4 linked regions of the Caenorhabditis elegans genome follow. The protein of the gene in region 1 interacts with the protein of each later gene in a pairwise test. Each region holds a gene or a part of one and is shown in the gene's direction. Other genes may lie near its edges.

Region 1 (6,989 bases):
ATTAGATCTAGAAACCGATACTTGTGCTTTCCATGCAGAATTTGAAGAACGAAGTGTTTCTAGTTTCTTCTCGTAATGAAATTTACATGGGATTTTTCACTACCCCTGTAAAATTGATTCTTATTTTATCACTCAACTTGTTTTTGAAATTTTGTTTCCCACCTCTTGTAAATTTGAAATTCTATGTATCTAACGGGCAATGTCCTTGGGAATGTGTGCACGTGGTATCTTAGACAACATAGGTGTTCTTTTTATAATCTAGACAGTGTTCCTTCTAGAGTAATTCATACTTCACTAGTTGTTCTGTTTATAATATACTGATATACCAAGTGATGGTGACACAGTTTTTAGAGATAATCGACGCTTATTCATCAGTTAAATTTCTGAAATATGTAAATCTGCGCTGCGCAACATAAACCCTTTTCGATGAAACAAACCCTACAGTGTCTACTTTAATTTATGCGATTTTTCTTCCGGTCCTTCATTCCTTCAGTTTCCGACATTTGTAGCACATCTGGCGACGATTCATACCGACCCTGTAGCACTTTTTTGTTCAATGTGTTCGGCACAAGGTTATGCGCACTTCGCCTCTTTCTCCTATTCGCTAATACTAAACGAAACTTATCGCATTTACATTCTCACACTTCCACTTTTCAAAAAAGTAAAGAATACTACTTGTAAGGTGGTAGTGGACGACTGTCGGTGTCGGTTTTGTCGAGATTTCGTCTTTCATTCGACTGATCGGACAACTAGATACACTGAATTAGGTGGTGAAAGAAACTTTTCTTTTGAAAAAGGAGAGACCTACGTTTTTCTTGTCCGTTTCATTTCACTGCCTTCTGCCAAAATATGTGTGTTTTCTCACTGTTTTATCATCCTTTCAAAGTCTTGATTTTTTGGCTCGCAGTTTTTATGGTTGTCGTGGAATTGTTTGGTTCTCTGTTCCTCTTTGCCACAAAAAGTTTGTTGACTGTAGGTTAAAATTCAGTACTCTTTTAAAGATTTTTTTTACTGTAAACTACACGATTGTGAAAGAAACTTAGTCGTATTTTGTCAGCTTCAGATTTCGGCAAATGTTTGAGTCGGGAGTACAGCTCTGTTTATCTACATTTCCATTCTCTTTTCAAAAGTTGTTTCCCAAAACACCTGTCGACCTGTTACCCGTCCATAAATCATGCCAATATCATTGTCAATATGACGGCGTTTATGGTCAAGTATACCTCAACGAAATGCGTCAACTCTGACGCATCCGTGTTGACAGACGAACTCAACTCATCATAAGTACACAAATGGAAACGTATACACGCGTTGAATGAATAGATTGAATTCCTAGAAATGGGTGTGTTTTTTCCTTGAAGAATTGATCCATATGCGTTGTCGAAAAGTTGTTCTAAAATAATTTTCTGAATAACTAGAAGTTTTACAGTAATTAAAGTTTTTCGTTTGTTCAGAGATACTTAGTATTCTTAAGTTGCCTGTGCATATTCCTGTCATGCCTGTTTAAAGTAACTCCAGTGGGATTAACTATCAGAAACTCTCCCTAAAATAATATACGAATATCATAATAAGACTTTTATTTGAAAAAGTTTTTTGTAGGCAAACACCAAAATAACTAAATGTCCTCCACTCATAATTTTTGAAGTAGTCCGAAACATTTTAATATTCTCATATTTGGATTATGTTTTAAGCATTTTATAGGTCCAAAAATGAGGCATTGTTTTAAACATTTCCAAAAACCGACATTTTCGAAAATTGGCAATTTGCCAAAACTTTGAACAAGAACATGTATGATGTCTTTTTCTAGAAGTCAACAAATATTGTCAACAATAAACAAGAAATCATAAAAAACTATAATAATAAGTGGGCTGCTCATGGATAAGAACAAAAAGCGGTGTTCTTCCTGGCTCTTGAAACAGACATGTTTGAACTCAAGTGCCCCACTGTGGCGGTCAGCTATTTTTGTGTTTGTCAATTTCCGCCACCGGAATCCTCGATTTCTCGCCCATTTCGGCCACCACTCAATTGTTGCCGCCGCTGAACATTCCTTCCGTTCTTTTCCCGTCAGGCGAATACACATATTCGATACTTTTTATCCATCGCGCCGATCGATGGATGTCTTCTAATCGTCTCCGACACTTTCTCCGTTACTTCTTTCTCTCTCTCATCATATTCGGATAGTATTGTATAGAGAGACTCGGCAAAGGATAAACGAACGCCGGACGTCGTTGCAATTGAACACAGAAGAGATAAAGATTATATAAGAAGTTACCTTCTGAAGACTGAGGAGGAACCACCACGGCTACTGTCCGAGTGTCGCCGTGTTTCCTTGACCCTTTTTCTCCATATCTGACAAGAATCGAACACGGATTGTCAAGACTGTTCATAACGGAGGAAATACTACCACTTACTATTTTTCGACTTTGCTATATACATAATATATTCTTGCTAATATTGTGAAGCTTTATCATGTCGTATGTGTCGTTCGCGGCAAGCTACTCGCCTGGAGAAGGCAAAACAGTTCGAAATCTCAATGGTATGTGCTCTTTCATTTTAAATTCTTTGTAATAAGTTTTTCAAAAAAATTCTGAAATTATTAATTTGATTTTGGGCACATCAAAGTAGGTGCAAATTAGTTTCTGCAAACAAATTTTCTAAATTTTTATATTTGTGTTAAGTAGTCTTCTAAATTTTGGCGCTTGAATATATAATAGATCGAAGTAAAAAATTGTATGAATATTGCTAATTTTGGTGTTGTTGTGTTATATGCATTCTTGCACATTCTCACAGTCTGCTGCATTCCTTTCTCTCTTTATTTCTTCGTTCTCTCTATATGGAAGTGGCGAGAGGGTAAATATGCAACACTGCATACCATCAGTAGAGCGTCCATAGAGCCGTGAAGGAAAAGGGCACAGTGATAGGTGGTAGTGTTGAAGTGTCAATACAATTTAGTACTTTTTCTCTTTCCACATATTTTTGTCGCTATTCTAAAGTGAATCATTGTCCTCTGTGTCATTTCGATTTGCAATTTACCAAGTATGAGATATTTATGTATCTGTCTTATTGGGATCTCTATGCTGTGACAGATTGCTTCACTAAAATAAACAAAGTTCCAATAGCATTCCCTCCGTTGTCTAATCCATTTTCTGTTCTCACTTTTTGCCCCCTGGGTTCGTCTTTACTAATGAGTTCAGCAACCATCCCGCGGAGCACATTTCAGTGACTCATTCTTCTTTTTCGCAGTGATAAGACGCTGTTATCAGATGTAATAAACACGGGGAACGCCCCCACCTCCACAATATACCTTACTTTTAAAATTTTGAAAATTTTCGTGACGTTTCGAACTTTCTCTGCTTTTTTACTTGAAATTTAATCTGTCAATGTTTTTTGCTGGACATTTATAGCGATTGCTAAACACGTCTCTTTTTTGTTTAATTGCAGAATAGTTCCAACATTTTCTCAGAAAAAATTTCATTCGAAAAGCTTTCCAATTATTCCATTTTCTTTTTTGTAAGCCTTTTCTGATTCCAGTTAAATATTACTAACTTTGTTTGTGTCGCGTCGTCGTACGACATCCGACGTACAAATTCTTAATAAGTCATATTTCACGTGAACATTATTACGTGAACTTTGCCCACACACACAGAAAATAGTCGCACACATAGGAATGCCACGTGTACCACGTGTGCCACTCTTTCACTGTTTATGTTCGGCGAAACATTTCTTTATTTCAAAAATCTTTCACTTTTCTTGAAAGTATTTTGTTGCTGGATACAATTTCCCGTTTTAATTGTAAGTTAGGTTCAAACTTTTTCTCTGAAAAACGATGTGATTCCAAATATTAATAATCTTTGTCTTTTTTGTGCCACGTGGGCGTCTCTGTTGCATATCATTTTGATCATTATTCTCTTCAGAAATGTATATATAACTTGTCTTTCTTTTTTCTCTATCTATTAGTCACTTAACTACTCAAGAAACTTTCAAATTTATCAACTAAAATGTATATTTTTCAGACAAGGTAGAAGGGTATCGCAAGGAGATTGCCCCAAGTCGCGAAAACGTTGACTTCGATCACTTGCGAAGAACACCTAGAGATCCTTTACCGGAGAACGACTATCAGGCGACGAGCAGTACTGGATTATCGAGTGGGGAAGTAAAACCCTACCAGTACCGCGACTATCACCAACATCAGAAGCACGAGTATTACGGCGAAGGAGTGAACGACGGTGTATCTGAAGACAACGTTGAAGACAAAATGAGAAAATACGAAATGCAGGCAAGTTTATATTTATGAACTAGACAGGCTTTTTAAAGTAGCATCAACCTGTAGATCGAAAATGAATGTTTAAACCTATTATGATTGGATTTTAAGATAATCCGATTACGCGTTTGAAACATAAATCCCAATTTTGCCAATAGTCAAGCCAACACATCTAATATTTTTGTCAGATTGTAGTAGTTGTTTATATTTGCTCTAAAAGTCATGCCGAAAAAGTTAATTTATTCAATATCTATGAAATCAACAGCTTCATCTCCAACCCCAAGTGTTAGAACATTACCTGAAGAACAGGTAGTTGCTGTTTTTTTGTTTTATAAATTGTTCATGACTCATGAACATTTGGAGATCATTCATTTTCTTAAAGTAGTCAGCTGACGTGCTCTCATACACTCTATGTTATTTCTGTTTATCATTAAGGTCGGCAAGCGTCTCTCCCGGTTAGGAAGGCTATGCTGTCAAAACGGAAAGACGCTGAGCTAGTAAATATTTGTTTTTCCTTATATGTAACAATTTTGGTTCCGTAATATTATTCTGGAAAGTTTTAAAGATCCGAAAAAAAACTGAGAACGTTTAGAAATATTTAACAGTTCAATTAGCATCAAGTTCATAATGATTTTTTCAGGTTCGTGTTCCAACAAGTGGTGCACCACCAGTTCGCGCAGATGCCAATGGAACAGATCAAGACGAGTTCAATAATGAGACACTGTACTTTGAAAGATCACGCATTCGGACACTGCAGGACGAACGTGTGCACATTCAGAAGAAGACGTTCACAAAATGGTGCAACTCCTTTCTTAATCGGGTAAGTTGTGATAACAACTGATTGGAGTATTTGATTCTATAACGGCGGTCATCGTTAACACGAGAGTGAATAAGAGAGACGGGTAGAATTAGAGGGAATAGGTGAGGGAGAAAGGTTCAATTAGTCGGAAGAATTGTTTACGGAAAGAGAAGAGGATAATGCAACGGGAAAGTAATGCGGACCAAGATGACCTTGCAAATTCCCTTATCTTTATCTGGAGATCAGTTTGCATGCAAGAACGAAAGGAATGTTCGGATGAAAACCAATGAAATCAACTGAATTCATTCGTTGCATATGGGGTAGAACCAGTGCGGAATTTGTCAAAATACACTTGATATAGTCTAAAAGAATATATTAACGTAATTAGAAATTATAAATGTTTTTTTAGAGTTGTAATTTTCAATCTTAGCAAAATGGCAACATTTTGCAAAGTTTGGGGTTGAAAAAATATAATTTGAAGATTGGTATTTGAAATCTTATCATAGTTAATCACAAGGGTAATTATAAATATTTGAAAAAATAAGAATATAAATTTTAACTTCCAAAACTGTGACTTGGTATTAATATAAGTTTAGGAATTAAAACCATATAAGCACAACAATTTTTCAGGCAAGTTTGGAGATTGTTGACCTTTTCGAAGATGTCGGCGATGGTATTATGCTCATGAAACTTCTTGAAATCATTTCCGGAGACAAACTCGGAAAACCGAATCGTGGCCGAATGCGTGTGCAGAAAGTGGAAAATTTGAACAAAGTTCTTGACTTCTTGAAGAAAAAGAAAATCCAATTGGAAAATATTGGAGCCGAAGACATTCTTGACAGAAACGAGCGACTTATTTTGGGTCTCATCTGGACGATTATCCTCCGATTCCAGATTGACACTATTGTCATTGAAGTGAGTTTAGAGAAGCCATTGTTTGTTTTAGTTTAAATTTTTCAGGATGAGGAGGAGCGTGGAGAGCGAAAACATGCCAAAGATGCCTTGCTGTTGTGGTGTCAGAGAAAAACAGCTGGATATCCAAATGTTCGCATCGAAAACTTCACTACAAGTTGGCGCAATGGATTGGCTTTCAATGCACTTATCCATTCGCACCGTCCGGATCTTGTCGATTTCAATCGTCTCAATCCAAACGAGCATGTGGATAATCTGAATCATGCGTTTGATGTGGCTGAAAAGAAGCTTGAGATTGCACGTCTTCTTGATGCTGAAGATGTTGACGTTACCAGGCCTGACGAGAAGTCAATCATTACATATGTTTCCTTGTACTATCATCATTTTGCAAAGCAAAAGACTGAGATGACAGGAGCTCGACGTATTGCTAATGTAAGTGTTTATAAGTTCATGAAAAAAATTAACAAATTGTTTTCAGATTGTCGGAAAACTTATGGTTTCGGAAACCATGGAAGATGATTATGAACATATTGCTTCTGAGCTTCTCAATTGGATTCGTGTTACTATCAAGACATTGGAATCACGTCGTTTCCCAAACTCTCTTAATGGAATGCGCGAGGAACATGCCAAATTCAACCAATTCCGAACAAGTGAGAAACCACCAAAGTACAAGGAGAAGGGAGAACTCGAAGCTCTGTTCTTCACAATCCAGACTAAAAGAAAAGCGATGAGCAGAAAACAATATCAACCACCACAAGGACTGTTCATGCACGATATCGAGTCTGCTTGGGCACAATTGGATTATGCCGAAAATGAGAGACAAGTTGCTATCATTGCCGAGCTTCAAAGACAGGAAAAGTTGGAACAACTTGCTCAACGATTCCACAAGAAGGCCAAGTTGAGAGACAGTTGGCTCAGATCAGTTCAAGTGGTTCTTGAAGAGATGGAACACGGTCGCAGTGCATCACAGGTTGAAAAGACGTTGAAGAAGCAACAAGCAATTTCCACTGATATTTTGGC
Region 2 (9,197 bases), on another chromosome or scaffold:
TGTCTCAATGCTTTGTTGTAACGTAAAACGTTGAATCCGACAGATACCATCGGCCGAACTGGATGTTTCATTGGAAAAGTATGTGGAAATTTGTCTTAATATCGTCGACATTCCTGTGGGGAAAAGTCGCATTGAAGCTCTCCATTTGATGTTTTCGCTGCTCAATGAATTTAATAACTCACAGCATTTTCGCAATCTCGCACAAAACAACAATCTCGGAGGAGAAACCGGAGAAACAATGGACAGATTGGAACTTTAACATCAAAATTTATTGACATTTCCATAACTTTTTGATAAGCAGACGTTTCTGACATTCTCTTAATCACACATTTTATAACTTTTCCCTCTGCAGACACACTTTCTGAACAACCTATTTGTGTCATATAAATAATTTCTTAAATTATTGGCAAAATGCTTTCTCCTTTTGAACTTCATTAATTGATTCACCTTCTATTTTACTTTAATTTATTTGACCGAATAAACATTTTTATTTCTTTTTTAACAATCAAAAAGTTTTATTTTTCATTGCACATTAATTGGAGAGAATTATCCTTGGTGAGTTTTTACTGTTATCTTTACACCAATTTTTGTCTTACTCATATGAAGAAACATTTTCAAATTAATTTTGTTTTTAACAAGGAAATATCACCACAATTTTTGTGTTTATTCATTGCACGAAAATCTAATTATTCGGTTTGTAGTGAAATTGTAGTTTGGGACTTATACATTTTAACCAGTATTCTCTTATTTTTGAATTTTTGGAAACTTGAAATTGTATTTTGTATTTCGTACCCCACACTAAAAAAAACTATTCAACTTTCCACTACTACTCCTGAATTTCTGGTTTCCAGGGACAGCTCTCACGGTCCCATTTCCAAGACAAAGCATCATGTTGCTTAGCAATTGTGAGTAACAAACAGAACGTGGAACACAAGCCGGTGGTAAGTCTTCTCAGCAGGTACTATAGATGTCATTTGAAGAAGGAAAGGGTGAGCAAGGCGTTCTATTGTCGTAACAAGACCATTCAGACTCTCGTAGCATTTATCGATTCGTCACTGTGTTTATTCATTTCGTCTATCTTTCCTCCTCTTTTCATTGCACAGTGTCCCCACCTGACGGCGGGAAATACGCACTACATAAACTCGTCCCGATTTGAAGTGAACTTTTTTAATTCGCATTTTTGTAGTTTTCTAGGTTATTTTTCTTTTAATTTGAAAAGTAAATTTTACAATAAATTTGACTTGATAAGTCGTTTTTTGCATAGACATTCAAAATCATATGTCCATGTTTCTTAAACTTCTTCACTTTTTTCTCGTACAAATCGCTTAGATGGGCTATTTCTCTCTTATTATATGAGCACAACGTTCTCTCGCTTGCAATGTCAGAAATAGATTGCAGTCTTATCCCTCTACAAACTGTGCATGCACATTCTCTGCGTCTTTTCATTCCTATCAGTGACTAGACTCTTTTTCTTCCAGAAAAAAAACATTAGATGACAACAAACTGTTCAGTTTTTGCAGATAGAGTTCGGCTTTTGGAAGTTAAGTTTTCTGGCATTTATGAAAAAAAGATTGCTCATTAGGACCGTCAAATTTATGTAACGTTAACATAGAAAATATCAACAATGAGAAAAGCAAGCAAAACATGTTTGAAAGCCTTATTGTTTTAAAATAGATAGGTAGCGGAATTTATTTAAGAAAATACTTTTATTGAGTCAAAAGTATTTGTTTCTTTAACCAATAAATTTTATGTTCCCATTTTTTTTGAACTTCAATGTTTCCAAGTTTAGCAGTTTGATATAATATTCAAAACTAACGAAAATTTGATCAAAAATTTGAACAAAACGAACAAAAAAACAAAAAAACAAAAATCTACAAATCCGCTTTTTAACTTGAAACCCCTAAAAATATGTAATTTAAAATACACAAAGTAGCCTACAGTTAAACTCTGTATGTTATCAAATTCTGAAAAACACAACGAAATTCAGTATTCTGTTTTCTCCTTTTCAACAGCCCATTTCTCATTCCATTTGACAGCTCTATTTTCCTCATCCGTCACAGGACTGCGCGATACTAAAAAAAAAGACACATGTTTCTTTTTTTCTTGGTATTGTTACCCAGTAGTCTGAATAGTAACATTTCTTGATTCTTATGTGATGCTTTTGGTGGCAGCACCCATTTTTCTTCTTTACTCCATCCTCTATTTCTAAATTTATGTCACTAATTTTATCCCATTCATTCTCACGCCTTGTTCGCTCTTCATTTTTTCCATGTTTCTTTTCCTTCTCTTCTATTGCTGTAGTCTCTCCTCGCCCTCCTCTTTTTGTCGTTCAGTCGCGTGTCAGCTGAATTCACAAAGAGAAACGCGCCAGCAGTCTTCTTTTAACGCAGTTTTCGTTTTCCGTTCTTTTTATTGTAATATTGCAAGTGTTTCCTGCTGTCGCCGCCCAGCAGTTTTCAGTCCGTTTGTTCCCAGTTGGGTGGCTGAAGCTAACCTTCAATTCAATTTAACAATTGTCTTCGATCTCTAGATCTCTTCTCTGCCGTTGGTTCCATCTCCCAATTGGCTTTAATTTTTCACATATGACCTATGGAAGATACAGGTGAGATTGTTGTGAAATGTTCAATCCATTTTTAGAATATATTTTCAGAGCTGACGTGGCCACCCTGTACGACGTCTTCTGCGAACTTGATGCCCCGAAACCTGGCGAAAAGCTTGCTATTTTAAGACTCCAGTATCCCGACGATTTCCACGATCCAGCTATTGTGAAAAGTGTTCAACAGTTTGCATTTCCATGTCAACTACGAGAGTACGTAATTGTTAAAAAAAAACTAAATTGGTATGGAATTAAAATGTTTTTATAATATTTCAGAGTAGAAGTCGACGCAGTGCAATTATTCAGTTTTGTTCTAACCGATTCGAACTCCAAATTCTCGTTTGGATTTTGCCGTTATACACCAAGAACCGACACGTGCATCTGCTTCTTGAGGTGAGAGTGATTTTCCATCATTACTTTTGACAAATAGCCGTCGTTTGGTTTTGTCATGGGAAAATGAGTCCTGAAGAGCAGAGGAGAAGTATCATATTTCGTTTTCTTTTCTATTCCTTTTAAATAAACTCTTGCAAAAACGTTAACGAAAAAAAGAACAAAACAGAGTTCGTTTTTTCTTGTGACTTTTAACTGTTGTTGTTGTTGTGTGATGCGAAAAAATGAAAAGAATGTTAAACGCGTAGGATAGGATGACGAATATGATTGCAATATTTTAAAAAAGAAAACGATTTGTGATGGTGAACATTATTATCACAAGAACTTAAAAAAAAATACAAAACCGTTTGCTTGGAACTAAAATATGCTTTAAAAAAAGGCGGTAGAAAAGAGTAGAGAAGTAGTCAGAAAAATGTCTCTTTAAAAATATGAATATTTTACAGTGGATTCTTCTGGCCAAATGTCTTCTTCAAAGCTCTTAACGATATTTCTTTGGTGATAGGTTCAGCGCAAAGGGAAGATGTTGAATCAGTGCTCACCAAATTCTATCACACAGATATTCCAAATATTGACGAATATTTACGATTTGCTGATAGTAATCAAACAGATGGAGTAAGAACCTTAGTTTATATCTAAATGTGCAATATTTTCTCAGCACAACTATCGAGTAGTGTTTGCTGAAAAAATTCCCGATCACACGCGATTACCAACTCTTGGCTCGGATAAGTTTTTCCTCGAGTTCTACAACGCCATCGACCCTCGGCAGATGTTAGCAATCTTTGCAAGTCTACTGAAAGAACGTCGTATTCTGTTTACTGGGCGGAAAGTTGGATCGTTGAGTTCATGTCTCCATGCGGTCTCGATGCTTCTCTACCCAATGTGTTGGTGAGTAATATAAAATTTCTAACAAAAATGTTTACATAAATATTGGTAGCAAGAGGCATTGCAATCGCAGTTCTGTGATAGCAGTTCTGAGATAACTAAGAAACTAAAACAAAGTACGTAATACCACGTAATAAGAAATCGTGGTTAAGAAATAAAAATCAAAAGCAATGTAAAAGGGTATACAGTATAAGATAACTTGTTATATTATTTAGTGATGCATATACATAGAATTCAAGTTTCTCTTAAACAATCTTGAAAGTACTTGGTGAAAAATTTGAATTCAACATTAACATCACGAAACATTTGGTCTTGCGACTGTATTTAATCATAGTTTTAGGAACAAAAATTCTGAACTCAATGATGAGGACGCTTATTGAAAAGCTATTAAATTTTCTAAAATGTACTTCAATGTATATTTCAGGCAATCAGTTTTTATCACAATTCTTCCCGAGTCTCTCGTCGACATGGTAATGGCACCAATGCCATACTTGATAGGCGTTCCAAAAACTGTTTTGGAAAATGCGGTTTGTGAATTCGAATAGATGTCCCAATATTGTATTTTATTTAAGAGGCTGAATATAAGAGACATCGGCGAAGTGGTGATTGTTGATATTGACGAGAAGACGTTAACAAGCCCATTCGATGATGTAGCAGCAATGCCTCAAGAAGTTGTAAACTTTTTGAAAGCACAACTTCGGTCGCAGTCAGCAATGGATGACACTTTTGCAAAGCACTTCTTACGAGCTATGGTTATGCTGTTTGGTGACTACACAAGTGGATTTACTGGTGATACGCCTGAAACTCTGGTTTTTTCCAAAGAGCGGTTTGTGGTGCAACAAAAACCATCCTACCAAGCATACGTATCATCACTATTAGGTGCGGATGGTGTGCAGTACCTAGAAAGAGTGAGTTTCCGCACAAGCATATTGATAAGTCGCAATAATTAAATATTTTAGTTCATCCACGACCGATTAGAATTGTACAAAGACGGACACGTGCCAGGAGACCAGTTCGAAATTGAAATCGAACAGATGGATCTGAAAAACCGGCCGGTAAGTGATGAAGCAAATGTTATCATAGCTTGTATAACGCAATGACGTTAACTCGTCGAGTGTGCGGACATATTCCAACATTCAGCTAAATCATCATGAGCCAATGGTGCATACTACGGTGCAATCAGTAAGATTCGTGTTGTCAAACAGTATCTCAGCAACTTGATTTTCAGTTTAACCAAGTGCATGACTTTTGAAAAATTTTCTAACTTGTTCGGCATCTAATTTTTAATGCAATTGAAAAGATTTTCCAGGTCAAGGAGAATGCCAATGACGTCATCGGAGCATTGAAAACTTCTGGAATACAAGTATTTTTCAACCCATTTTAAGTTATTTGAAACATTCAAATTTCTAGATTGCAAATCGTCTCCAGAAACTAACGCCTCGGGAAATACGAAAAGCAGCGGCAAGAAAAAAAGCACACAATCAAAATGGATTTGAGCAGTCGCCAATGTCTTTTGATAACCTACAATGGGATGCAACGGTTTGTTAGAAAATAACAGAATGTATTAATATTTTTGAATAGTTCCAGAAAAGTGACGAAAACGAGGGCTTCCCGGTGGAAACAAGGATGGACAATGTTCCAGTAGCCAACCTCATTGATTTGGATGAACCTTCTACAAGTTCTGCGTCTGGGCTTACATCAGTGGATGAACAGTACTTTCTTCGTCCCTCCGAACTTGCAACTAACAACCGCAAGTGAGTATTTGATCAAATAATCAACCCAGAAAAAGTATAACGCTGTGGCTCTTTGTAGAACTTTTTCGCTCTATTTTTCTGGCAACCAACAATTATCTGTTCGTTGTGCGCCTGCCTGAGTTTAATCCACTTTTAATCTATAAGCTTCTGGCTGTTTCTGTCTAGGTAGAAGTATTTTGGAAACGCTCGGAAATCTCATAATTGCTTATATGTAGAATAAAAAGTAATGTCGCCTTATAAACAAAAATCATACTTTGTTCAAATATAACGAGGATCAAAAAAATTGCAGTGTGTCCAATGAGAAGTCTAATGCATTTGATAACTTCTGATGATTTGGTTTTCTAACACCGTTTCAAAAATAGTTTCATAACTAAAAAGAATTAAAAAAAATTTCATTTCAAGCTGGTGCTTGAAATGCTGGTGCTTGTACATGCTGGTACATTTTGTATAGTAATCTTGATCAAGATATAAAACATGTATGTATTGCCAAAACCTGGTAATTTGAAAACCAAATCTGTTACTATGTTATTCGCAAATCAGTTAATTATTTTACAAATGTTCAGGTCGCCATCTGGAGCAATAGGAAACGTATTTGCCGACCCATTTGCGACGTCACCAGAAGGCTCGGCGCCTCCATTGCCCTCTCGACCCCCACCACCTCTACATCCTCGCATGATTCCTGGCTCATCGGTCCAGTCAATCTCTCCAAGTGGATCATCAGCACCTCACCTACTCCATTTTCAACAAAGCCATCAGTGGGCACAAGTCAGCCAAGTAGGAAGCGTACCATCAGCGATGAACCCATCTGCACCCGATTGGTATGCTCCTCCGCCGCTACCTCCCCGACGACCTGCATCAGTTGGCCCATCGAGCACATCGTCAGGGCAACCAGCAACTGCTTTTGCCACTAGTTCAGCAATACGAGTCCCCCCTCCTCCGGTTCGGAGCAAATGGGAAACTTTCGAGTAGAATACAATCATGTGATAACAAAATGAAAAACAAATTATTTATGTGTATGAAATTTGAGTTTCTATGGCTAGAGTCGTATGGTTACTTTCATAAATTTAACCCATTTCTTTCCCCCTTCCCACTAGTCAAATTATTTTGTTTTTCCATATTCTCATATTTTTTAATCGTTTGTTCCTTGTACTCCTGCGAGACTGAAGTCACAACGATAATTCAGTCATTTTATTCATTTTGTTTAAGTATATATTTTTCAAAAATCCAAAGGAACTTGTCAAATCAAATTGTCATCGAATGCCGGCATTCTAACTTTTTCTTGTCAAAAGTATATATTTATTTATTTTTCTGGTTTGGAATAAACAATAATGTTGGGTGACTTTTCATTCAGTTTATGTTATTATTTCAATTTATTTCAATTTACTCACTTATTTTAGCATCTATCGAAAGTACTTAAAAACTACAATATACTGGACAGCTTCCATTTAATTTTTTTTGTTTTAATTTTTGAATGGAGTAGCGTCAATACGGTAAATATTTGAAATAGATCTTTTGTGACAAAAATAATTCAGTTGAAAGGATAAAATCGTTTTTTTTAGATTTCAAAAAAGTTATCCCAACTGGCGCTATAAAACTTTTGAGACTTTGGAAAATATCCCATAATTTTAAATGGAAAAAATATTATGCTTTGACAATTTTCACAGTATTTACAATATATTGGAAAAGTGAACCAAACGTATCTACGACTACCCTGCATCATAACACTATTTCTCCTGCATATTAACAGATGGCCGTCCTCGTCTCCTCCGCTCTTCCCCTTCCTGGGGCCCCTGCCGTCTGCTGCCTTTTGCGACCGTCTAGCTTCTCTCACTCAATGATTTCTATATTATTTCTCTTTTTCCTACGATCTCTAAATCTCTTTTTCTAATCTCACCGCACGCACAAGCAGAAACGGACCGAACATGCCGTCCGCACAGGCACTTGCCAACGTGAAAGAACACGGCTGAGAAGGTGCGGTTTTTTCCATTGAATATTCAATTTTTCCTGCTATTTGTCAAGACTTTTCTTGATACACAGCACCCAAATAGTTTAGAAATAGGAGTAGTTTGATTTTTTCTCTTAGTTTGACCATCAGAATGCATTTTCTTGTTTTTGGCTTTGGACAGTAGACAATATCAACTTGTTTCACTGCATTTTAATTGATATTTTATTATGGCCCAACATTTTTTTTAAAGATTGAAACATTAATCAATTTCAGATGAGTTTCCAACCTGGTGATATTGTGATCAAAGGTTCGTGGCCATGCAAGTTGGTGAATATGGAGAGAGGAAGGAATCCCGTCTCATGGAGAGTAGAATATTTTACCTGGAAAGCGAAAGGCCGAACGAGTATTGTTCCACAGGGTGTGAGTAATAAATCCAAATAATATCAAAGGTTCTAAACTTTATTTCAGGCGATTTTCGCTTTGCATCGAGACTATCGATTCAAAAAGTCTACGGAGCAACACACCAAAGCTATTAAAGAGGCTAAGGAAACATTAGGAGGCAAACTATGGGTTTGTGTGCATTCTAATAGAATTTAGAAAATGTTCATATGTTTCCAGGGATCTCAATGTGGCAGAGCACCATCGTACAAAAAGCTCGAGTTTAACGGAGTCGAAAACACCCCTGATCAAATACAAAAAATTGTCTCTCGCGACTTAAAATTGGAATTGGACGATAGTGAAGATATTCGAAAAAGTGGAACAAATGGAAATCATCACAGAGGTGAACCGAAAGAGGAACTAGAAAAGGAAGAGCAAGAAAAAGAAGAGAGAATGAAGGAAGATGAAGAAAAGAATGGAGATGGAGAATATGAAGATGACGAGGATCAAAAGATGGCTGATGAGAAGAACCGAAACTATAAGGCTCCCATGGTTAGTGTTTAGTTTAGTTTTATGTCTAATAAAATCATTGAAATTTGGAAACTTCGCCCTGGCTTCATGACTCAATTAGTCATTTTATTATATTTATCAGAACGGGTACTGTCCAACCAAATTTAATCGAAAATGTAAAATGCTTTCAAACGAAACATTTTATAAAAAGTACTATTCTTAAAGATATAATTTATTCACTTGATTATGAGTTTCAAGTTACAAGTTGCATCAATGTAAAATATTCGTTAGGACAATTTCTATCTCTGTTTCCATCTTTTTTTTCAGAATCGCAAAAGATTTCTCACCGAGGATAAAGACGACGCTCTGTTCAGCCCACCACCTCCTAAACAGAAGACTACGCCGAATTCCACAATCTGGGGCACATTTGTGACAAAAATTGTAAGTAATCGAATTTTTTAAAGTTTATCAAAAAAATTATCTATTTCAGAGTGGCTTTCTCGGCGGAAAATAAGCACCCTTTGTTTTTCATTTCGTTGCCCCTATCTAATTTAATGTATCAAACCTGAAAATGCCATTGAATCAATTCAACTATGTTTTCTATTTCTCCTTTTTTTAAATCATTTTTTTTAAAACTTCACAAATATATACATATATATATACTGTATTCATAATTTTTTTTCTCAAAAATTAAGTACTTCACCGGAGCAAGAAATTCAAAATTCTCTAAATGTTTCCCAAC
Region 3 (6,079 bases), on another chromosome or scaffold:
CTTGTCCAGCTTCCACAAAGAGGAGAAAGAAGTACGAACAAATTTTGATATCAATAGTAATTAAATTTTTCAGTAAACGTTCCTCTCGTGCAGTCCCGAAGTGAAGATCAGCGCCTTGTAACCAGTGCTCGTCAAACTGACAAAATTGATGCCGATGATTTGGTCGCGCTGGCAAATCAGTTAAACAGTGCCCGCCAATTGGTGAAAGGAAGAGCTTGCGATCGTCTGAAGCAAATTGCCGATCAAATGGAACAATTACATATGGCAGCTCGTGCAGTTCTCGAAGATGCTCAACGCGATGAGCATTTGCATAACGTTCCCTGTAACATGGAGAAGCAACCTGGCCGAATTTACCATTTGTACCAGAAGCAAGGAAGCATGAACAAATATTTCTCTATGTTGGCTCCTAACGAGTGGGGATACCAAGAGAAGAAAGAAGAATATCTTGGATCATATCGGTTGGAATATGACAGAAGCTGGACTCCTGTAGGAGAAATGGATCGTAAAGACGAAGAAGTCGCTCGTCTTCAGCAACTTCTTCAACGGGAAGGACCGGTCGCCTTACGTGGGAATCCTAATTTTTAAGAAGCATATGTAACATTCGTAAAAACGCATAGATTTTCAATTCAATTCCAATAACCGGGTTGTTTCTTGTGTGCCTGATACTTTCATGAATATTGTGATAATTCGAAATTATTTGTTATCTTATAGGTTACCACCCTACTCTTAATTTTTTATCTGGAAAAATCACACTACTCATTCTGTGAAATAATTTTGTAGATGAGTTTAACAACAATTATTTTTGACAATGGTGGCCATAATATGAAGATAGGTACGATAGACTCAGAGTCCCCTAGGTTTGTTTCTAATAAGAAAAATATCAATATAATTTAAATATTTTCAGATTAGTTCCAAACAGTATTGTGAAAGCGAAACATGAAAAGAAGCGGGTTTTTGTTGCACACGAGCAAGAAGAATGTTCGGACAAGTTTTCGCTATTCTATGTGCGACCAATTGAAAGAGGATATGTGGTGAATTGGGATACACAACAGCAAATCTGGGAGAAAACGTTCGGATCTATGGATGTGGAGGCGTCTACTTCTCGAATTGCACTCACAGATAATAACTATCTAATCCCAGCTCTTCCTGATGTCTCTAGTGAAATATTGTTTGATTATTTCGGCTTCACAGAGGTACACAAAACGTCTGCTTCGACTTTGGTGGCAAAACATTCAAATAAAATCAACAACGAAAAGTGTGCAGTTGTTGTGGATTCCGGGTTTTCATGGACTACGGTAGCTTCATTTGTGAATGGAATGCTTATTCAGGATAGTGTTATAAGGTTGGAAAGTGTTTTCAAACTACAATTAGCTTTATTTTTAAGGATCGATGTTGGTGGAAAAGCGTTAACAAATAAATTGAAGGACTGGGTATCTTACCGACAATTGAATGTTAGCGAAGAAACATACGTTATCAACGAATGTAAAGAGGATCTTTGCTTCGTCTCACAAAATTTTGATGAGAGCATGAAAGAGGCTAGGTAGGTATAAAAATGAAGAATACTAATTATATTGTTTTTATTCAGGAATCGATTTCAAGAAAATACAACAATGAAACGATATATTATGCCGGATTTCCACTCGACATTCCGAGGTGTAGTGAAAGACGTTAAAGAGCCACACGATCCACAAATTCCTTCAATTCATTTGGGAGTTGAGAGATTCGCCATTCCGGAAATCTTATTCAAGTTAGTAATTTCGGCAAAAAGTATAAACTATTTTATCTGTTGCAGTCCCTCGGATATTGATATTGATCAATGTGGTGTCGCAGAAGCTGTTATCGAGAGTATTTGTCAATGTCCAGAAGCATTACGGCCTGCTCTGGCAGAAAATATCATCGTGATTGGCGGATCGTCGTGCTTCCCAGGATTTCGTGAACGCCTGGAACGAGAAGTTCGATCAATGCTGCCAGCAGAATATGGATTGAATGTTTCAAATGACGTAATAAACCCACAAACTCATTCCTGGCATTGTGGTCAAGAGCTTCTCACTGCTTCTAAAGTTCCATGGATCAACCGAAAAGATTGGGACGAACGAGGAGACTCGTTGGAGTTCTCTAACTTTTTCCAGACTCTTGTGCAATCCGATGAACTGAAGGGAACTCGTAATTTCGATGATCAGAGGGAGAAATCCCCAAAGGAAGATGAAGATTTCTGAACTGATCTCTTATCACTTTAAAATAAACATGTTTTATATATATATATGCCAAAATATTTTTTTTTGAGATCAGAGGTTTATTTTCCTTTGTTGGACTTATTTTTTTTCATGTGCTGTTCATTTTTTAAAAATCAATATTTCAGATGTCAGCAGGGCCGATAGTGGAAAGAAACCAAGATGCAACAATTTACGTTGGTGGATTAGACGAGAAGGTGTCAGAGTCCATCCTATGGGAACTTATGGTACAAGCAGGACCTGTTGTCAGTGTCAATATGCCGAAAGATCGAGTAACTGCCAATCATCAAGGTTTCGGATTTGTGGAGTTCATGGGAGAAGAAGATGCAGATTATGCAATCAAAATTTTAAACATGATCAAATTATACGGAAAGCCAATTAAAGTAAGCTATCAAATATGTTTAGTTTATTATTTAAAAAAATAATATTCAGGTGAACAAAGCATCGGCTCATGAAAAGAATATGGATGTTGGTGCAAATATTTTTGTTGGAAATCTGGATCCAGAAGTCGATGAGAAATTGCTATACGATACGTTCAGTGCTTTTGGAGTTATTCTTCAAGTTCCAAAAATCATGAGAGATGTTGATTCGGGAACGTCTAAAGGATTCGCGTTCATCAACTTCGCTTCATTCGAAGCTTCAGATACAGCATTAGAAGCTATGAACGGCCAATTTCTTTGCAATCGAGCTATCACCGTCTCATACGCTTTCAAGAGAGATTCAAAAGGAGAAAGACACGGAACAGCAGCGGAGCGTATGCTGGCTGCACAAAATCCACTGTTTCCAAAAGACCGGCCACATCAAGTATTTTCTGACGTTCCACTTGGTGTTCCAGCTAACACACCTTTGGCCATGCCAGGAGTTCATGCTGCTATTGCTGCTCATGCAACAGGACGCCCAGGCTATCAACCACCACCATTGATGGGAATGGCTCAATCTGGATATCAAGGACAATATCCACCAGTACCACCACCTCCACCAAGTGTGACACCAATGCCACCTCCAATGCCGCCAACGCCAGGAATGACTCCTCGTCCACCACCACCACCATCATCTGGAATGTGGCCGCCACCACCACCGCCTCCACCAGGAAGAACTCCAGGACCACCAGGTATGCCTGGTATGCCTCCACCACCACCACCATCACGATTTGGTCCTCCAGGAATGGGTGGAATGCCGCCGCCACCTCCACCAGGGATGAGGTATATATTTTTGTTCTAAGTTGAAAATATCGTTCATGTTCACCGTTCGAACTTACACAATTTTTCTTTTCAGATATCCGGGAGGCATGCCGCCACCACCACCGCCGCGATATCCTTCTGCTGGACCAGGAATGTATCCACCTCCACCACCAAGTCGTCCTCCAGCACCACCATCTGGTCATGGAATGATCCCACCTCCACCACCTCCATCATAATTACTCGATCGGATTGGAATACCTTAATCTTTATTTTCAGAAACTTTTGTTTTTCACGAAAAGATCTTCATTTCAGCTGTTCTAAACTTTTACATTTTAAATTATTTCGTTTTATTCTCATTCCATAAACCAATTTCTATTTGATGTCAATTCAACTTCAATCATATTCCACAACCATCATCTCCTCCTCTCTCTTATCAATCTCATCACAATCACACCTTTCTTTTCCAATTACCACTTCGATACGTCAAGTCACGTTCTTCAGCGGTTTTTTGTTGCATTTTAATGTTCTCACACAATCTGTACGCCTTTTTCCACTATTTAAGACATCATTGATGTTCGCTGGAGCGGCAAATCCTATGAACTATAGGCAAGTTCAACGCCTAATAGAGACGTAGAGTGTAAGTGAGGTTTCCGGGAGAATTCGTCTCGCACCTTCCTCTCATTGATTCTATCAACGAACGGAACGAGTTAAACTAAAAAAAAAAGTGTAGAGAAATAGAGAAAGAAGGGGAGAGAAAGAACATGGACAATGACTGTATTCAACCGGAGGACACACCAAAACTAATTAGTCACCCGAAAACATCACCTACAATCATCACATTGCTTCTTCGCACTTTTTCCAGAAATATTATTCCAGTATCATTTTGATTTTCTCCAATTCAGTGTTTTTGTGTTGTAGAATTTTCAGTTTATTATTTTTGGAGTTCCGAGAGTATCTTCAGTTCAAATTTTGCACATTTATCTCCTTATTTAAATGAAATTGCTACTACATTCCTAGAATTTATGAACAAATGGAATAATTTTTATTAGGAATTTCTCGAATTATGATTCATTCTTCCATTTTCCATTCATAACAATCGTTCGTTTTTCTTGCATTTGAAATTTCATTCGTCAGTAAAAATTCTACAAAACAACATTGTTTCAAATAACCTGTTATTTATATAATTTTTAGGATGAGTTTATGAGCTCTAGAGGAAGAAACCAACTTTGCCCGTTTCCAATTATATAATTACAGTACTCAACTTTTCCAATTGTTCGTCATATACATATTTCCACACCAGAACTCATTTATATATATTTTGCAACGCATCAATGTTTAGCTTTCAAAAATTTTATGATCTAGAGAAGTTAAAAAATCACAAAATGTCGTAGTTAAAAATTGAGGACGTTTTATATACTGTTACAAAGTGTTACAAAGTAGCAATAATTCAGTTTTCATGTACTTCTTATAATTTTGGAAGTTCACTAAAAAAAAGTTACACGAGTTTTATGTTCAATCTATATCTTAACTATTCTTATTTGAACACTGTAGGCTCAAAATTTCAATTTTTCTGACAGTCTGGCATTTTGCCAAATCTCTGACTAAATATTTTGGAAAATCCACAATGCCGTGTTTTATTCAGATATATTGTCTTATTGACCTGCTGTGACTATATTTTGACAAAACTCTTGAGTTTCTAATTATACTAATGATTAGTGGTAACCCTACATATGTTATCTGAAAACCCCACTGATTCTGTAAAACGAATGTCCTTTTGATAGGTATTTCTTTTTGTTTCTGATACAATATTATATTATACTAGGGAGAGAGACTTAGACTGCCAAAAAATATTCCTTATCATTATAAACCTTTGTGCCTTGATTGCCTTCGAGCAAAAAAAACCGCCGACACTTAATGATTGACACTTATTCGCCTAATCTGTTCAATTCGTTTCACTTTCTTGCAACTTTTCATTGCCTTCCTGCTGCTTACTTTAAAACTTACAGATCAAAATGGGTAACATGCGGAGGCTGTTGATCTTTGCTGTTCTAGTAATATGTAAGGATAAATAATTACATTTTTAATAAAGAAAAATTACAAAAAGATCAAGGAAATTTGAACTGTTCATTACGATTACAGTAGATTAGAAACTTTCTCGGATGTTTCATGTTTCTTTTGTTGTGTATTTTGGATTTTGAACCATTTTATTTTATCTTAATTTTATGTTTAACTAGTCAGATATTCCATTAATTATATTCAAAAAAAAAACAGAGTGGCATAATTAATTAAATTCATGTTAACGATTAAAATGTTTATATTTACAGTAACCGTCATATCCAATTCAAAATCGAGTTACAAATATGATGGTTCATTGTTCTCAAGTAAAGAATTGGATTATGATGAGACAGACACTAAAGCAATGGGATCCGTTTTTTCAAGATATATGTCAGATTCCGATGCTCAGCTAATTCTTGATCTCGACTTTTTCCGTCATTTTTTCAATTACGCAGAAGCTTATAGAGATGGAGCTGAAGAGGGAAATCTTGAATTAATGAAGTATGCTGTTGAAATGGTTGAAAAATTAAAATCATTTGATATATCAATGGGTTAGTTTATAATGACTATATCTTTAACAAAAAACATTTAGCTTGCGTTGGAGACATGATG
Region 4 (10,056 bases), on another chromosome or scaffold:
ACCATTTCCGCTGTTCTCTTACTTACTTACTTACTTACTTGAAGTTGTCTGTGAACTACCAAAAAAAAAAGTGAACCTCAAATTCAGCCTCATGATTACCGATTTGATGTAAACATGTTTTTGAACTAGCGACATTCCAATCTTATCAATGTTATCAGCCAGCTGTAGTAAAGTAGTTCAGAATATTTCTCACTTGAAAAGCTTTTTAAATTTCTGTATCTTCATCAATTTGTGATATAAAGTGTACTATTTTAGTTTTAGAATTTTTAGTATTTTTAGAATTAGTTAGATGTTGATAAATATTTTCCGTTCTTATTAGTCATACTCTTCCCCATTTTTTCTTCCTTTCTCCTCAGGCAGTTGGTTGATTGGGTCATCTGGCATCTTACTCATTTCGTTTTTTTTTCAATAAGCTCCAGTAGAGAGAGAGAGCCTTTGACTTTTTCCATTGCTGTTTGATAGATTTTGTTCTTATTAAAATGCCTAACGATGTACCATAAGTTCTTCGGAACCAACGGTTATTTTAAACCTAGGAAATTGTTGAGACGTTATCCTAGATATCCTAGAGAGAGATATCTAGGTGATCCTAGATAATTTTAAAAAAAAATGTATCCAGAAACCTTAAAAAAAACAAATCTGGCCAGTTGACGCCCGTTAACACTAGCGATTTGGAACGAGAGGACAGATGTTTTGTGTTGAAGAGAGAGAAGTTTCCATCGGTCAGTCAATTGGAAGAATTTCGTTTTGTCTGGCGCAATTCGTTTCGTTTTAAAGTTTGGTTGTATACCATTTGGACTTAACTGAAAGGGTGTCACTTCTATCTGTTTAAATTATTCTTATTCTAGGTGTATCCCACAATTGCCTAATTTTAAATTAGCGTTTCTAAACTCATATGTCACATCTCGCAACTTAAACAGTTTTTCTTTTAGGTGTTTACCAAATATCTAGGTGTTCTCTCTCTGTTAAATGTCTATGTGACTATGCTATTTGCTCTTTAGCTTATCAGTTACCAATGATCATAGAAATCTTTCCTCTTGAAGTTAAATGTTACTTTCTGAAAGTTTATCTAACAAAATTTTCAGTTTTCAAACAATTGTCTTATTTTCAGTGTTAAAAAACCCACCCAATTGCCTTGATATCTTTGTCTCGTATCTCTCTCTCTCTCTCTTCTCAACGGCTTTACTATCCGGTTTTCTGTCCGCCTCATTGGCTCAGTGGCAGAGCGTCTGTCTAGTAAACAGAAGGTCGCTGGTTCGATTCCAGCATGAGGCACCGAATTTTTTTGAAGAAATCTTAGTCTTTAACATCGGATTACTGTAGAATTATCACATATTTTTTGAGAACGTATCCAGAAAACATTTTTAGACATTTTAAGGTGTTCTATCATTCGTGAAATTAAGCGATCATTGCACATGTAGTAATTTTCTTTAAAATTTATATTTGCACTTCAGTATTTTGAACGATCGGCAGTGACTTCATGCATGTGTGAATAGAAAATACACATTGTAGAGCATCCGGCCGGCGAACACGCTATCATTCATATTTCTGTCAACAGTGATATGTCTATGATAATCATATGCTCAAAAAGCACCACCAGCCTGTCCACTTGACATGAGTCTCCATTTTGACCGTCTCTCCTTCTCTACTTTCTCCATGAGTCCTCTTATCTCCTTCACATGTGCCCAATGACCCATTTGGCGGGAAAAATCAGACAAAAAAGAGAAGAGAGCAAGGGATTTGCATACTGTAAAACAGTGTCAAATTTCCTTCAAGAATGAACGAGCTTTATGTTAGCCGCCAAAAAACAAGTAGTTGGATTCCTTTTAAATATATTTTATTTATGAGGACGAAAATCCCAATCAACTCAACGATGTGTAATAAATATCTTAAAATGTAGGATTGCAGTTTATGAATTTCCGCGAAAACGTGAGAGTTTAAATTAAATAGGCTGTTCTCAGATACTAGATTTTAAGCAAATTATATGCTGGCTGAAAACATATTATTTCAAAACTTAATGAAGAATGAGCTAATCTCCATTCCCGAGTTCATTTTCTTGTTTTCCGGAGCACTTCTCAAATTCTCTTCCTCTCCCTTTTTCGCTTTCTCCAAATACCGAAGTGACTGTGTTTATTTTATATTTATTTTGTTCTTTTATCACTAGGTTCTCACACATTTCCTCCATTTCTCACTTTTTCATCCAACGACCCGCATGCCCTGTCGATTTGCCTGCCATTCAATTTGAATAGATTTCATTTTTGTATTTTTCTCCCCAAGAATCAGATGACATTCCACTTCTCTTTTTCCCCTTCTTCTCACTTTTCTAGAGTTCGCTGATTGCCTTCAATTTTTAGTTGGTTTTCTGTATATGGAAAATAACAAAGTCTCTATTTTTCGTAAGAAAATTATTTTCCAATCGGTTATTCATTTCTTCACTATTTTTCTCCCTGGTTTTTGATTTCTCTGCACTTGTCAATACAATTTCAATTCAATTCACGGTTTTACCTTCATTTACGATTAGATTTTATTACCTGTATTGAGGTTATTTTGACCGTTTCGGTAATCCGCTCCACTTTATTAATTCAATTCGTTCCGTTCAAAATCTCGTTCAGTTTGAAACATTTCCAGCTTAAAAATGTCTAGCGATGATTATGAGTCAATTGACACGCCACGTGTAGCTTCACTAGCTGATATGAATCGACTTCCTACCCAATCTCGTCATTCAAGTTATTCAACGGATGACGATGAAGACGTGACTCCTACACCATCAGCTTCTAATTCTGCTCCAAAAAATACAATTCTAGACCCTCTACAAGCGCAGTTTCTTCACCCGAATTCTGAAAATTCTGATATAGACGAGCCTCGTGTGCAATTGCGCGAAAAGAAAAAAGCGACTCGTGCACAAGATGCAACTGTTTCTCATTTCTTGGAAGATCAAGTTCCTAATCAGAAATTCAAAAGGAGAAGCGCTGAAAGACATTCAATGTTGGCTGGAGCTGCTGATTTTGCTAGTCGTAGGAGTCCATTTCATTTAAGTGGAGCGAATGGTTCTGGAAGATGGACTGATTTGTTCTCATCGAGCAGATTTAAACGAAAACAACGACAGAAATTAAATGTTCGTATCTGGGAATTCTTCTACCTAAAAATACAGAAATAACATCTTATTATTAGAGAAAAGTAATAATAATAATTAGAGTTTGCAAAATCCTCAAATTAATATTTTCCCCACAAGTATATTTTCTTATTTTCAGAATGTTCCATCATCGTCATATTCAAACAATGACTACGGTACATATGCAGGCACACAAAGTATTGGAGGTTTCTCGATTGCTTCAAATTCTTCAGGTAATATTTTTTTTCTTAATCTTGAAAATAAAAATTATGTCGCTAGTTAAAGGTAGAGTACGGTCAATATTGAAATTAAAACCCGTTCCTATGGTGCTAAGATGTCAAAATGTCATAGAACTTCTCAAAAATATTTTGAAATTTTTTTATTATTTCACAATGTGATTTGTGAAAAAACGGTGAAAACTGATTGTGAGTTTTTGCCACTTTTCTTTCACTTATTTTTGACTGTAGATTTAAAACATGTTATTATGATATTTAATAATTTTAGCGTCATAGGAAGCGTTTTTCAAATTGTTTTCCCATTGACCGTATTTCACTTTTAAACGAGCATTAAACTGAATTATTTCGAAGATCTCCATTTTCAATATAAAATAGTTCCAGGAGAATCATTTGCCTTGTCAGGAACTGAAGACGAAATACGAGAAGAATTCAGGAAAATTATGGTAATATTCTTTATAGAGTTCTTATTATATTTCTACTAATTTTGCAGCTCGACAAAGGTCTGCCCGAAGCTGATAAAATTATTTCTAATACGCCACTTGATCAAATGAAAATGATGATTGAGAATTCGAGAAAACAAGATAATCAGGCGAAGGGAAGGTCTCCGGAATGGGTTGTACGAGTATTGGGAGAAATATTGAAAACGAAAAACATTCCGGAATGCAAGCAGGATATTGTTACTGTACGGGTTCAGCTAGTTGGTCAAGGTGTTTCATTTCTTAATAAGGTTCGTTTTTTAAGATAGATATTGTTACTATTAAAATACATATTTATTTTCAGTTCGCCGTAGAAGTTCATGACGAGTCTGGTCGCACTGGAGCTGATCTTATCTGCTGTCTCTACTCATTAGTCTTGAAACGACTGAGAAGCAGTGAAGTTGGCTCGAAATATGAGCTTGATTTGATTGATTTCTTGCAAGAAATCGTCAGATGTGTCCGAACGCTAATTAATACACATGTAAGTTTGTATGTTTTCAGTCTAATTCTAATTCTACACTATTTCAGGTTGGCCTTGTTCTTGTATTGCGACGGAACTCTCCTGTATACTCACTTCTCATTCAAACATTATGCGTCCTGAACAGGCGAGAGCAAAACGATCATGAAGCAGCTGAGATTCGAGCTATTCGGGTTGATGTGGTTAGAACATGTTATACGTTGATTTTTGTTCAACATGATACGCTGTCAACTCCGATTGAAATGACTGGGTAAAAATTTTGAACAGTTCAAATCTTATTTAATTGAAATGCATTTCAGTCAACAAAAGATGTTCATGGAGTTGTCCTTAATAGCTAAAGCTGAATCCAAACGGCTCAATGAACCAGTTTCTCGATTTCGGCCCCTCATCAGCTGCATCGATTTTCTAGAATCCCGCGATCCAAAACAAGGAATGTACGTACTTCTGATGATAAATATGATGATCAATGGTGTCGATCGTAACATAAGTGATGATCAAATGTGGACAGAAGAGACGATGTGGCAAGCACGAATGAGATTAAGGAGTGAAGCTGCAAAAGATAAACTTCACAAGTACATTGAGGTAAATTTGATTGTTTCAGAAAAATAATCTTATCCCAGATATTTTCCAGAAATTCACTACATCTGAAACTGTAAACTCGCAAATTCGGGATGTTGCTCAGAACATGCTCACTGAGCACAATGCAGATTTGGAAACACTGATGGGGAAGCTTGAAAATGTAAAAGGAGAATATGATACCTTGGATGGATGTTTTGAACTTCTTGCCGCCAACTCTGAAGCCACCGGAACCGAGACAGTGCTCCTTTCAATTTTACAGCTTATGACTCTTACTAATGAGGATATGTCGACGAAAAGATCGTATATGAAACTCATCGAGACAGCCATATCAGATATTCTTCTGCATCGAACTCCAATCGATCCACAAGCGGATTATAAGTTTGTGTTTGAGGTTCCTGTGGCCGAGATCATTGGTTTGTGATCGAGAGTATATTGAAAAATTAAATAATTTTAATTACAGATAAAATGCAAGACGAAGAGATGGCCAAAAAAGTTCGACAAGCCACGTCGGCCAAACAGGAAGCTGTTGCAATGCAAGGAGAATACTGGAAAACATTATGTGATTTCCAGAAAGAAGCTGAAGAACTGAGAAAACATGTATATTTACTTTTTTAGAAGCGGTTTGATTGAAACATGTTATTTTTCAGATAAATGATCCAAAAATACCTCTTCCTCCGCCAACGAAGATGAACTTGTCGGCTCCATCCACATCTGCTGGTGGATCTTCAGCTCTACCGCCAATAACTGGAGGTCCACCACCACCTCCAGGTCTCCCACCAATCACAGGAGGGCCGCCTCCACCTCCTCCTCCTGGTGGTCTTCCTCCAATCACCGGAGGACCCCCGCCGCCGCCTCCACCGGGAGGATTGCCTCCAATATCTGGAGGTCCTCCACCACCTCCGCCGCCTCCTGGAGGATGTCCACCTCCACCTCCTCCACCACCACCGGGAGGGTTCAAGGGCGGACCGCCACCACCACCTCCTCCAGGCATGTTCGCACCGATGGCTCCCGTGATACCTGATTACCTTCCACCCAAGAAGGTTCCAAAGGTTGATGGTCCCATGAGAAAGTTCCCATGGGGAGCACATACTATCAACCCTCGGGATATTCCAAGAGAGTCGTTCTGGGTTGGAACAAACGAAGAACAGCTGACCAGCGATCGAATGTTCGATCGTTTACGAACCAAATTCGCCACGAAACCTGCTGCAAATAGTGGTACTCTTGGTGGTGTCTTGAATAGCAAAAAGAAAGTGAAGACAGCACAAGTCATTCATGACGATAAATTACTTCAAAAATTGGGTAAACTCGAAGAAGTATATCCTTTTTTATGATCTTTTTCTTGCAGGCATTCTTCAAGGATCAATCAAAATGTCGCATTCAGAGCTCAAGCTGGCGATTTTGGAAGTCAACGAAAAGGTTTTAACTGTCGGATTCTTGGAGCAACTTCGATCAGCAATGCCAGTGGAGAAGGAGCTTATTGACAAGCTGAGAGCGGTGAACAAGGCTCAATTTGAGGAAATGCCCGAGGGTGAACAATTTGTCACTCGTCTGCTCCAAATTCAAGGTCTTCCGCTTCGTCTCGACTTGGTTCTATTCAAAATGCGATTCTCTGAAGTGTTGAATGAACTGAAACCAGCCATGTCGTCAGTGATGGAAGCGTGCGAAGAAGTACGAGCATCTGAAGGATTCCGAACATTTTTGAAACTTGTTTTGGCGACTGGAAACTTTATGGGCGGAGCGACAAAAAACTATTCGAGTGCTTACGCGTTCGACATGAGAATGCTGACAAGACTGGTTGATACAAAAGATGTCGATAATCGGCATACTCTTCTACATCATTTAATTGAAGAAATGAAGAGAATCGATCCAAGACGAGCACGGTGAGTAGATTCCTTTACTTGCTTTCTCAAAATTTAAAAAATTTAAGATTTGCTCTCACCGACTTCCATCATTGCATTGAATCGTCCCGAGTGAATGCGGATGAAATTCGAAAAACTGTTCAACTGACAGAGAATAACATTAAAAAACTGGAGAACTGCTTAAAAGTGTACAAAATTCAAGGAGAACGTGATTTATTCGACGAGAAGATGCGGCCGTTCCACGAAAAAGCTGTCAAAGAGTTCTCCACAGTTTCGTCAATGTGTGGAAAGATGAAAAACGATTGGGAGTCGTTGGTCAAGTATTATGCATTTAACGACAAAAAATATCCGATGGAAGAATTTTTCGCCGATATTCGCACCTTCTCTGAGCAATATTCGAATGCTTGGAAAGAGTTGGATGCCGAAGCAGAAGCAAAACGAAAAGAAGCAGAATTTGAGACACAGAAGCGGAAGCAGCTGCAACAATCTCAACAAGAAAGGAAGCCGTTACAAGAGAGACAGGCGATTAATAGAGTGCCAAGAACTCCGGCTGCGATGATTCGAGTTTCGACTGGTGAGTTGATATTTTTGAAATTGTTTTTTAATATAATTTTTTCAGCTGCCGATAAGGCTGGTGTGCTCGATGAGTTGGAGCGTGCTACAGGAAATGCTGATTTCCTTCAAACCTTGATGTCTGCCACAAATTCTCGAACTCCTCGTTCCGGATTGCCAGCTCGAACTCGCGGAGGTGGAAGACTTGGAGGAGGACTTGATCGGCAAAGATCACGACATCAGAATGCTTTGGGTCAGCTTCAAGATCTCACTGGCTGCGCATCGGAACCGGTTCTTTCCGGACAGTTTGCTCGATCACGCAACGTTCCTCAAAATGATCTGCAACGACAAAATATGGAACTTCCATCATCAGTAAAACCAACAACGGCGCTTGATAGGGCTAAAGCATTTGGAGTTGGATTGCCGATTGGTCAGAATGAGCTCAAAGTTCGAGTGAGAAGGAAAGGGCAACCAGCTGTTCCAGTTACGGTAACATATTTTATATGTGGAAACTTTTCGAAATTTAACTTTCAGAATATCAATGGAACATCGCAAATCTCACCAACGCACAAAGAAAACGATCCGACGGGTTCCTCGTCAACTTCATCTGGTCCTGCATCATCAAACACGGCTACATCATCATCATCAGGCACAGTGGTGCCATCAACAGACGATCTTCTCGCACGTCTTAATGATTTCTGAAAGCTCACATCGGTTGTCTTATCTATAGATCTAGTCATTCTCCGTCTCTATTTTTTCTGTATTATTGCCACATTTTTCATACTTTAATTGTCATTCACAGGGTCCCTCTTCTCGTTCCATTTCAATTGCTCGTTGTATTTTCATCAGTTCACTTTTCCTTTCTATTTTCTTTAGGTAAATATTTTGAGTTTAAAAACGATTTTATTTTTATTGACATGGAACACAGGCATACTTTACCCGAGACATTCAAAAGTGAAATAGAAGAAATGCATTAGATGAGCTGAATTCGTAGTGTAAGTGCACGAGACAATGCTTCGTCGGATACCAGTATTTCTTCGCCATCGCTAACAAGATCTTTCATCGAAGTATGCAGATTTTCTTTGCTTTCTTGTTCAAATTGTGGCATGAAACTGCTAATACAGTAAAGTTTTCGAGTTGAGGTCGCTAGTGTCGGATGTTTGAGATGGCTGAAATTTGAAATTTGTTTTCTAAAACAAACGGAGAACGTACAAACGCTCCGAGAGTCTGATGATAAGCGATTCAAGAGTTGAAGATGGTGAAACTTCGAATGGAAGACGCCCACCACTACAAGTGAGACAATTGTCATCTTTCATCATTGAAACAACACTGGTATATGCTCCGTGAATTTGAGTGAAATTAAGATAATTATCGATTGGTTTGGCAATGCTGAAATTGAATATTGAGAGTTTTAATATGTGATCTTACATACTTTGTGGCCAATTTCAGAGCTTCTAGGGCACATGATGCAGCGATAACTGCATTTGTTGATGCAACAGCCGGAATAATTCTTTTTAGAACTCCAGATGTCAAACGACGATCCACACCTCGAATATTGTATTTTTCTGCACGAAGACTTGCTCTTTCGAGAACCCATTCAACGTGGATCGGATCGTCAGCGTCAAGAGAAACACCTGGAAATATAACTTTTTTCCAGAAAAAACTTTAAAAATAACACTAAAATTAAAGTTCGTTTCACCGATTTTTCTGTAAATTTTTACCTTCAAATGGTTTTTCCTCTGGCCAAACAACTACTTTAATGTATTCAATACAATGTTCTGGAAGTCGAGGAGTGTGAGCAATTGTGCACAATGGAAAATTGACTTGAGGTGGATAAAGATCAAGAGTACAATCAATACAGGCTGTGAATTTCGGATATATGACACGAGCATTTCCTTTAAATCCTTCAGTTCCTCCGTCAATCATTGGAATAATTGTGTTCTCATCAGGTTTTCCGTCGGCCATTTCCAAAACCAAATCACACTGCAATTCGATAAATTAATTTATATTTTGAGCTAGAAAGAATTTTACCAGCATTCCGTTGATCCATCTTCTGGCTGGAATCGAATCAAGTCCACAGATAATTATAGAGAATTTTCGATAAAATTCTTGACCCTTGTCTTCAATTCTACAGTTGTGCCTGAAAATTGAAATAAAATTAAAATAATTCTGAATTTGTTTGGAAAGACTATCAAACCACAACACTTACGCAGTCACCTGACATCCAACAACTCTTTGTTGAACGAAAGCAGCAGCTACCTCAGCTTTTGATTTTCCAACGTCAGATTCCCTGAAAGTTTTTTTTTGACAGAACGAATTTAATAATAATTTTTTAATACCTAAATAAGAATTGACGATTTAGGTTTGATACATCAATTGTGTCCATATCGATAACTTCAATTGTTCGGAATCCGCTCAAAGCCTGAAAATGCATTATTTTTAATGTTTTTTTTGAATTCTAACTAACCAAGTTCTTTAACAACTCACAACCCAATCCACCAGCACCAATAACAAGAATCTTCGTGTTTTGCAGTGCTTCAAAGTTTTCCGGTCCGGGAACAAACCATGGAACTTTATATGCAGAGTCGCGATCTGTTAATCTTCTGATGCTCCTCCAACGCTCCGTTGCCAATGGATCCACGCTGACCATCTTTGCTTAAAAGTGTTGAATATTTAATTTTCCTTGTGGTGTAAACAAAATAGATTATACATTGTAAAGCATGTTTACAGTTCCTAATACTTATTTAGTGTCGCATTTTATTTTTTA

What was found.
Region 2: the proteins of sma-1 (region 1) and rme-4 interact in a two-hybrid assay, tested with the Caenorhabditis elegans proteins (one large-scale study listed by BioGRID).
Region 3: the proteins of sma-1 (region 1) and sap-49 interact in a two-hybrid assay, tested with the Caenorhabditis elegans proteins (one large-scale study listed by BioGRID).
Region 4: the proteins of sma-1 (region 1) and cyk-1 interact in a two-hybrid assay, tested with the Caenorhabditis elegans proteins (one large-scale study listed by BioGRID).

The regions. Positions count from the first base shown.
Region 1 is NC_003283.11:11,897,098-11,904,086, forward strand, and holds the start of sma-1 (Spectrin beta chain), read left to right. Parts: upstream 1-2,351; 5' UTR 2,352-2,466; coding exon 2,467-2,533; intron 2,534-2,810; exon of another isoform or gene 2,811-2,982; intron 2,983-4,010; coding exon 4,011-4,273; intron 4,274-4,898; coding exon 4,899-5,078; intron 5,079-5,687; coding exon 5,688-5,972; intron 5,973-6,017; coding exon 6,018-6,401; intron 6,402-6,447; coding exon 6,448-6,989.
Region 2 is NC_003284.9:10,370,996-10,380,192, reverse strand, and holds rme-4 (UDENN domain-containing protein), read left to right. Parts: upstream 1-2,423; 5' UTR 2,424-2,582; coding exon 2,583-2,602; intron 2,603-2,650; coding exon 2,651-2,809; intron 2,810-2,872; coding exon 2,873-2,989; intron 2,990-3,429; coding exon 3,430-3,598; intron 3,599-3,641; coding exon 3,642-3,871; intron 3,872-4,292; coding exon 4,293-4,395; intron 4,396-4,440; coding exon 4,441-4,776; intron 4,777-4,827; coding exon 4,828-4,923; intron 4,924-5,177; coding exon 5,178-5,231; intron 5,232-5,278; coding exon 5,279-5,407; intron 5,408-5,449; coding exon 5,450-5,622; intron 5,623-6,185; coding exon 6,186-6,591; 3' UTR 6,592-6,961; downstream 6,962-9,197. Other genes in the region: dyf-6 (Intraflagellar transport protein 46 homolog), read left to right, coding at 44-259; Y49A10A.2 (uncharacterized protein), read left to right, coding at 7,841-7,987, 8,036-8,137, 8,186-8,497, 8,783-8,896, 8,946-8,969.
Region 3 is NC_003280.10:8,032,048-8,038,126, reverse strand, and holds sap-49 (Splicing factor 3B subunit 4), read left to right. Parts: upstream 1-2,359; coding exon 2,360-2,614; intron 2,615-2,663; coding exon 2,664-3,433; intron 3,434-3,506; coding exon 3,507-3,648; 3' UTR 3,649-3,877; downstream 3,878-6,079. Other genes in the region: C08B11.9 (uncharacterized protein), read left to right, coding at 1-31, 74-585; arp-6 (Actin-like protein C08B11.6), read left to right, coding at 781-857, 905-1,342, 1,385-1,540, 1,586-1,747, 1,793-2,216; nrf-6 (Nose resistant to fluoxetine protein 6), read left to right, coding at 5,425-5,470, 5,737-6,018, 6,060-6,079. UniProt on the Caenorhabditis elegans protein: Subunit of the splicing factor SF3B required for 'A' complex assembly formed by the stable binding of U2 snRNP to the branchpoint sequence (BPS) in pre-mRNA.
Region 4 is NC_003281.10:7,021,773-7,031,828, reverse strand, and holds cyk-1 (WAPL domain-containing protein), read left to right. Parts: upstream 1-2,623; 5' UTR 2,624-2,632; coding exon 2,633-3,112; intron 3,113-3,248; coding exon 3,249-3,342; intron 3,343-3,726; coding exon 3,727-3,788; intron 3,789-3,835; coding exon 3,836-4,072; intron 4,073-4,125; coding exon 4,126-4,302; intron 4,303-4,349; coding exon 4,350-4,549; intron 4,550-4,598; coding exon 4,599-4,881; intron 4,882-4,930; coding exon 4,931-5,291; intron 5,292-5,338; coding exon 5,339-5,475; intron 5,476-5,525; coding exon 5,526-6,177; intron 6,178-6,223; coding exon 6,224-6,758; intron 6,759-6,805; coding exon 6,806-7,311; intron 7,312-7,356; coding exon 7,357-7,778; intron 7,779-7,823; coding exon 7,824-7,991; 3' UTR 7,992-8,187; downstream 8,188-10,056. Other genes in the region: rfl-1 (NEDD8-activating enzyme E1 catalytic subunit), read right to left, coding at 8,263-8,458, 8,502-8,678, 8,722-8,923, 9,011-9,272, 9,321-9,429, 9,499-9,579, 9,629-9,711, 9,757-9,939.